Linked DNA regions of Drosophila melanogaster. The protein of the gene in region 2 interacts with the protein of the main gene of each other region in a pairwise test. Each region holds a gene or a part of one and is shown on either strand. Other genes may lie near its edges.

Evidence for each region.
Region 1: the proteins of CG8206 (region 2) and h-cup interact in a two-hybrid assay, tested with the Drosophila melanogaster proteins (one large-scale study listed by BioGRID).

What each region holds. Positions count from the first base shown.
Region 1 is NT_033777.3:15,381,261-15,385,015, forward strand, and holds h-cup (heineken-cup), read right to left. Parts: upstream 1,692-3,755; 5' UTR 1,610-1,691; coding exon 839-1,609; 3' UTR 622-838; coding exon of another isoform or gene 394-621; 3' UTR 335-393; coding exon of another isoform or gene 236-334; 3' UTR 147-235; downstream 1-146. Other genes in the region: Rbp (RIM-binding protein), read left to right, coding at 1-68, 236-334, 394-621, 1,807-1,930, 1,997-2,475.
Region 2 is NC_004354.4:15,737,365-15,741,006, forward strand, and holds CG8206 (uncharacterized protein), read left to right. Parts: upstream 1-1,865; 5' UTR 1,866-2,038; coding exon 2,039-2,614; 3' UTR 2,615-3,053; downstream 3,054-3,642. Other genes in the region: CG11679 (uncharacterized protein), read right to left, coding at 200-1,462.

The sequences.
Region 1 (3,755 bases), on a different chromosome or scaffold from region 2:
TGGACGCCCTCAGCCTGCAGCTGCGCGATGCCGAGATGCGGCGCACGGAGATCGAGCGGGCGCATCAGGTGAGTGTCCTTCCAGGTACCGTGAACTCATGCACATATTAATGGAATTTCAGATGAAAAACTATGGTACTATAGTTTGATTTTAAGAACAGTATATTGCAATTGTATTGTTATAGGATTTATAGAACATTTTGTTTATCTGTATTTATATATATATGCTATCCTAGGAAACCCTGGCACAAATACGCAATCTGAGCGGTAGCGCTCGTCCCGATGCCGAGGCGGTGGAGAATCTGCAGTCGAGAGCCCGGGAACTGGAAAAGAAGGTGACTATATGCCCTCAAATCATATCTACTCAATCGTATTGAACTCTAAAAATCCATAGGTTGCGCTGGAAAATGTGCGCTGCGAGGAGCTGCAAATCGAACTGACGTCGGCTCTGAAGGCCAAACAGGCATCCCGCTCGGCCTGCTCCGGAATGGGGAGCGTGTCCTCCGGTGGCGGCGCGACCATTCCTACATCGGCCAGCAGCTCCACCGTCACTTGGGCACCGACAATCAGCCACCAGGACCAAGGATCCGAGATTGATATCATAATGGCAAAGATTGAGCAGGTATTTAAGTGCAACTAATCTCCTAGGAGTGCAAATGGTATATAGATCTTTATGAAAGAACAGCAACAGCTAACAGACAGCTAGTAGTGTGTGGATAGTGTAGCCTCGAATGAAATTATATTTCGGGTACCAAGTACCAAGTATTCAATCAACGTAAACAGCCAGTGTTGCAGTGGGGCAGGAACGTGTGTTGTGCCTATTCGTCCATGTTGTAGGTCTACTCCTCGGGCTTCTCGGCCAGAGCCTCCTCAATAAAGCAAGTGACTTCCAGCTCACTCAGCAGCGAATTGTTGGATGAGCACTCCGAATCATCCTCCACGCTGCTCGGCGAAAGGCAGGAGAGGAAGCTATCTATGCTGTAGATGCTATTCTCCCGGGTGGCACTCGAATCCAAAGAATCGTTTGGTCCGATCTGAGTGCTACTTTCGCTGGAGCTCAGTGCTCCCTGGCGGAACAGCTCATCGGTGGTACTGATCTGCAACTGACGACGCAACTGCTCATTTTCATCAGTCAGCTGGCAAATGATCTGCTGGTTCTCGGCACTGCTCCGGTCCTCGAAGTCGACAGTTAGCTTCATCACATCAACCATACGCTCGATGCGGGCATCCTGCTCTTCGACCACCTTCGACAAACCGGCCAGGTAGTGCTCCCTCAGTTGGTAGGTATCGATTAACATGTCCCCTTCGCTGTGCTCACGGTACTTCTCCATGATCAGCTCAATGCCGTGTTGGAACTCAACGCCGGTCGCCTTGAGCTCGATGTTTTCCCGCAGCAACTGCATCTGCTCGTCGTCGTCGTTCTTCTCCGTCAGATGCTTCAGCAGCTGATCCTCGCGAAACTTGTGGCAGTTGGCCAACTCCTGATCCACCATTTTAGCATCGATTAGCAGCTCATCGGTCTTGAACTCCAGTTCGTCCAGGCATTTGGCAAAGTCCTTGTACTCCTTGATAAGACCGCTTTCGGCTCCGGATGGCACCGAGCTATCCATCCGTCCAATCTGGTTTGGATTGCTCACGTTGAATTTGGATTTTTTTCTATACAAAATTGTCTACTTCGGACTTCTCAGGGCAGTTGGGGAAATAATAGATCAATGCTAAAGTAATAGCCTATTAAGATGTACATTCAAGTTCTCTAGAGAATTGTCATTTTACTACAAATCTATCTATCCTTATTGCCTAATTGCAGGATAATCGCGTGCTGGCCGAGCTGGAACAACCTCGCACCTCGGCCAGCGCCAGCATGTCAGCATTGCCGCCCAGTTCCATGTTGAGCACGGTAAATAGCGAATTTAGAACCATATCAAAGAGTGGTAAGCAAGCCAGAGATAACACTAATACAGAAATAGAATATAGAATGGAATTTGTAATGCCCGCAGAACTCGAAGAAGAACTGAACCGCTACAAAAGAGCAGTTCTGGGAGGAAGCGGAGGAGGAGGAGGTGGCGTCGGCGGCGGCGGCGGCGGTGTCTCCGCCCTATCCTCCGGCTACTCAAGCCTGCCGCAATCGCTGGCCTCCACGCTGCCCAATGGTGGGGCCAGCACCAGCTTGAGCGGCACCAGTCTTGGCTCGCACAGCGCGGCCGCCGCTGCTGCCGCCCACAGCGTCTCCGCTGGATCGGGAGGCGTGGTCGGGGGCGGCGGCCAAGGCGGCCTATCATCCATATCGGCCCTGGTGCCCAACTCAATCAGCGGCATATCCTCGAGTCTAAGCAGCCATGCCATTCAATCGATGCAGTACGGAACCGGACAGACGTCCGTGGAGAAACTGCTGAGCGGAACTAGTGGAATCACTGGCATTCCACCCCTGCCGGTAAATATTCACACGATGAAGGCTATGCCAACGGCATTAAGTCAGGTAAACCACCTATTTTCAATCGCAATGAACTACGAACAACAACAGCAACCACAGCAATTATGTACCGCTGCCGATCGATTTGCTTAAAAGCTTGCCACATCTAGAAAGTGCTATATATATGCGTTATAAGTTGTATGTAAATTCGATCCGTTTGAGTAGCCATATAGCCTAGCCATATAGCATATAGCATATATAGCGACCATCCGCTTCTGTTGATCGTCGCTGCTGCAGCCACCGGCCGTTTGTTGTAGTCTCATTACTGATGAAAATAAATACATTCACATCGAAAGCCACCCACCGAATATCACATTACACTGAATCACAAACACAACCATTTAAAAACTAAATCGTTTGAGTATCTGTATTCGACCTTTGATTGCCTGTTACATAAGTATTCTCTGTATCATTGAAATCAAATTCGCTGGCATGCTATAAAATTTCATTGTAAATCACTCGTATCGAGGATGGTATTAGTTATAAATGTCACTAATATTATTCAAATGTATATTCATATATCATTGGTCATGCACAAATCGAAGAACTGCTTCTTATACTCAGTTCATTTCTTGCAAGCTAATCAAATAGTTTTGAAGCATTCCTTCGAAGTTCATATATTGTTAAACTGATTGTACACAACCTAGCTCATGCATCTGCTGCATTTACAGACATATACATACTTACTAAGTTTATATCTCTTGAAGGAGTTACATGTTTGAAAGCTTTCCGTTACTCGTTGATAAACTTTTTAATGGTGATGATTGGATGCTAGCCGTGTTGCATAACCACGAATCCTCGCTTGGAGACGGCTTAAGTTAATTGCAGATTCAATAGGCACTCATGACCAGCCGAAAATCACCACCAACATGCTCAGTTGTTCATGCATAGATGTCCATTTAAGACGTTCTAGATGCCTTTTTCCAATGGCAGCTGAATAAACGTGTATCTGTGATCTCTCTTTCCGTTTTATGTGCTTTCTCTGTCTTCCCTTTTTTTCTCTCTCTCTCTATTACTACTACTACTGTAATAATGATGAAATCTCTAACTCGATTCCCATAACTCCGATTATGATTGATGTGCGGTCAAAACGAATCAATCAATCGACTCGATCTATATGTATGTCTGCATCTGTATCTCTGTGTGTGTGATTCTATGTTTGTGTAACAACACCTGTACAAATACCACAAACACAACGAATACCCTGTAAATTCTGAAAAAAAACCCGAATATTCCAAATTCCACACAATACACATACATACTAAACGGCAACTGAAATTAAACCC
Region 2 (3,642 bases):
TTAATCTAGCCATTTTTTTAAATTGGATCTAGTGAGAATTTTAAAATCGTAATGTTTGGTGTTTTTAACGGGCAACAACAAATTAAAAAGGACAAAAAAAAAATAGAGCACAGATCAAACAAACTTTTGGAACGCTAACAATTCTATATTTCGTCAAAATACAAATATAGTACAAAAAACTATCGACCAAGCCTACTTGCTAATTGGGAATCGAGGCGGCAGGAGCAGCCAGTGGCAGGACCTCTAGCTTATGCGAATCACTGTGATCGCTGACGAAGTGCAGCACTTCGAAGCCCACCTCTACCATGATCAGGATTATGATCATCCACTCGAGCCGGATATGATGGGCATCGTTCAGATTGTGGGACACCAGCTCGGCCAGTTCCACGCAGTGGTTGATCTTCTCGTTCATCACCTTGGTGCGCCGTGAGATGCTGAAGTAGGAGCACACCTGCAGGTAGAGTGCCTCCAGTTCCTCGCGGTCCCAGTAGAAATCGGGTGCATCCAGCAGATCCGACGACAGGTTGATCACATGACGCAGGGCAAATAATTCACCGGTTTTTCGCAGCATGGCCGCCCGCGAGATTCTTAATCGGCGACCACGCTTTAGATCCTCGGTGAGATGCTCTATGGAGTCTATGTAGCGGTCCAGTGTCGCCTCCCACATGCCCAGCTTTATTGACTGTGCCATCGCATTGGAGAAGGTGTACTTATACAGGAAACTATCCGTATCGGCGGTAACAAAGAACTTGCCATTCTGGAAGAATGCCCGTGACGTGACATTGAAGTCGCTGCTCTCCGCCACCAGATCGCCCTCCACATCCACCGCCGTCGATGGAATGTAGGTGTAGGGCATCACCTCGCTCTCCCCGTGAACCAGGGCACTCACATACGATTCCCTTTCGAAGGCGCGCAGGAAACTTAGCACATTGTTCGTCTCGATGTCGCTGCAGTTCCAAAAGACCACCGAGCCCTCGCGGAAGAAGAATATCTCCCGCGGCTGCTGACCCGTCGGATATTTGGCCGCCACAAAGAGCACATTCTGCTCCACGTCCAGATTGTCTGTGGAGAAGAAACGCTTCGTCTCGTACAGGTTCTGTTCGCGGAGGGCTATCTGCAGATCCTCCAGATTGTACTCCTCGGCGGTCGTATAACCACGGGTGTTGAGAAACCCCAAAGCGGACAGTTCATCGATGGCCAAGCGCTTCTTTCGAATGATCCTGGTGCGAATGGGCGATAGTATCGACTCCAAGCGCTCCTCGGCTAGCGGCAATGGCTTTACCCGCGGTTGCGTTTGAGTTCTAGGTACAGAAGCTGCTTGAGCTGGCGCCGCAGCCGATGAGGTGGCTTCACTGGCCAACCATCGGCGGCGGTCCATCATCCACTGCGTCTGCGTCTGCTGGCGCGGAATTCGAAGTCCTCCAAGGACCATCTGCCCGAATCTCAGGCGTGCAAAGTTCATGGCTTTTGATTTATGCTCCAGCAGCAATTAGTGGCCCATTTCTGGGAGTTGAGATCGGTTTGGTAACGAATCGTATCTGGTGGCTATATAATATAGTAGCCGGCCTCCGATTGCCTTTTGTTGTGATTATCGAATCCGATAGGCACTCAGTGGTGAACTCGGTTCTTCGGCCGTTAGTTATTTCTAAGCTATGAATTTTCATTATTGCTTGGTATTTATACTACAAATTTGGTAGTTGAAATTCTGTTATTTGCTTTTTGAAATGCTGTAACGAGTCTTCAACTCATACTACATAAACTTCTGCCAATAGAGACAAATTACTGAACCTGGATACAAAATAGCCAAAATGTGAGAACTGAATTTAAGCGGCCAACCGCCTGCACTGCTCCGATAACGATAGCCATCAGCTGTTTTCATCGCTCCACTTAACCATTTTCTTCCCCATTTGGGGCAAAACAAAACGCAGTAACTACCCCACATTCAGCACGTGCGGCGCCAGAATTCAGGACGCACTGCAGCGGGCGGCAAGAGCAGAAAGCAACGCGGATGTGCAACACCGCTTAGTAGCAACATAAAATGAACGCATTGCGCAACATCTTCACATCGCGAACTCTCAACTATTTGCGCCAGAATGGACAAAACGCGATCCTCAACGCCACCCAGCAGCAACAAGCGGTGGACGCCGTGCCGCTAACCAACGATGCCGAGCAGCACCTAAAATCGTCGCGTCCAGCACCGCTTTCCATACCGCGCTCCATACTCGATGCGTGCCATTTCACGGCCAAGCAGTTTGACCTGGGAGGCTCCACGTCCGGAAACCAGGCGAATGGCTCTCTGTCGCCGACGACACTGAAGCGCTTCCGACGCATGCAACGCCGCATGGAGCTGGTGTACCGCTGCAAGCTGTGCAACACCCGCAACACGAAGACCATCAGCGAAGAGGCCTACTACAGCGGCGTGGTGATCCTACAGTGCGACGGCTGTGCCGTCGACCATCTGATCAAGGACAATCTGGGACTGTTCACCGGCAGCGATGGCGATAGCAGCATTAGCTCTGGAATCAGTACCAGCAAGAATATCGACCAGGTGCTGGCCGACCGGCATGCCCGCGTCCGGGTGATCAAGGTGAACGAGCGCGGCGAGCTGATTTAGGAACTCTAGTCAAAGGGGCATCAGTAGAGGTGAGAACCTGGTGCCGTCAACCTGCGAATCGTGTCTGAGGAGGACACACTCGACACGGGGTGGCACATTGAACCCAAGCAACCAAGCACCCAAGTACCCAACTGCAAACCGGAATCCCACATTCTGTTTCCGAGCTCAGACGGCTGTATATAATAATTGTACTGTAATTGTTGATTGTTTCGGGCCGTGAGTAATGCCTAAAAAAGTGATTAAAGGAACGACCAGTTCAAAAGCAAAAAACAAACATTGTATATGGCTAAATCTGTTATTCCGCTGTAGACTATCTAATCAGGGTGCACAGAAAGAAAAATGTCTCATTGTTGATATAAATGTTAAAATACATATGTATATGTACAATCATCAAGTTTTGGCTACAAGCCATCAATTTTTGTCAATATACGCCGTGCCTATCTTATATTGACCAGGTTTTTTTTTCTGTGTACGCACACGCATATATACTAGACGTGCCCAGTCAAAAGTGGACTCATTTATTTATCTGGAGAGCCCTAGAAGCCGGTAGAAGCCGAAGGGGCTCGGTGGCCGCTCGCTAATTGATCGGATCGATCAAAACACAGCCGGAGTGCTAATTATCGCAACAATAAAAATTGGCACGCTGCCGGCCTGGCTACGCAATGGTGAAATGTGCCGGATTGGTAGGTATAGATACGGCTTTGGGGCTAGACACTAATGCATACCATATATAAATACATATAAGTATGAAAAACACGCCCCTGTCGAGTGATCTTTTCTGCGTCGTAAGGGGCCGCCGAATCCCTAAGAGATATGCCCCCAAATTGGCTAACAACAACGGATTTTGTGCGCTGATGGCATGTGGACGGAAGATAGTAAGCCCACGGAGTCTGTAGTTATTGCCAAGTGGTTCTACCAACTGTTACATCCATCTCTTGACATCTAAATTAATTAACTTCATTTGAAACTTCATTAAGATCTATCCCAATCTGCTGCTCTGCCATAATAAATATTGAAATAGATATATA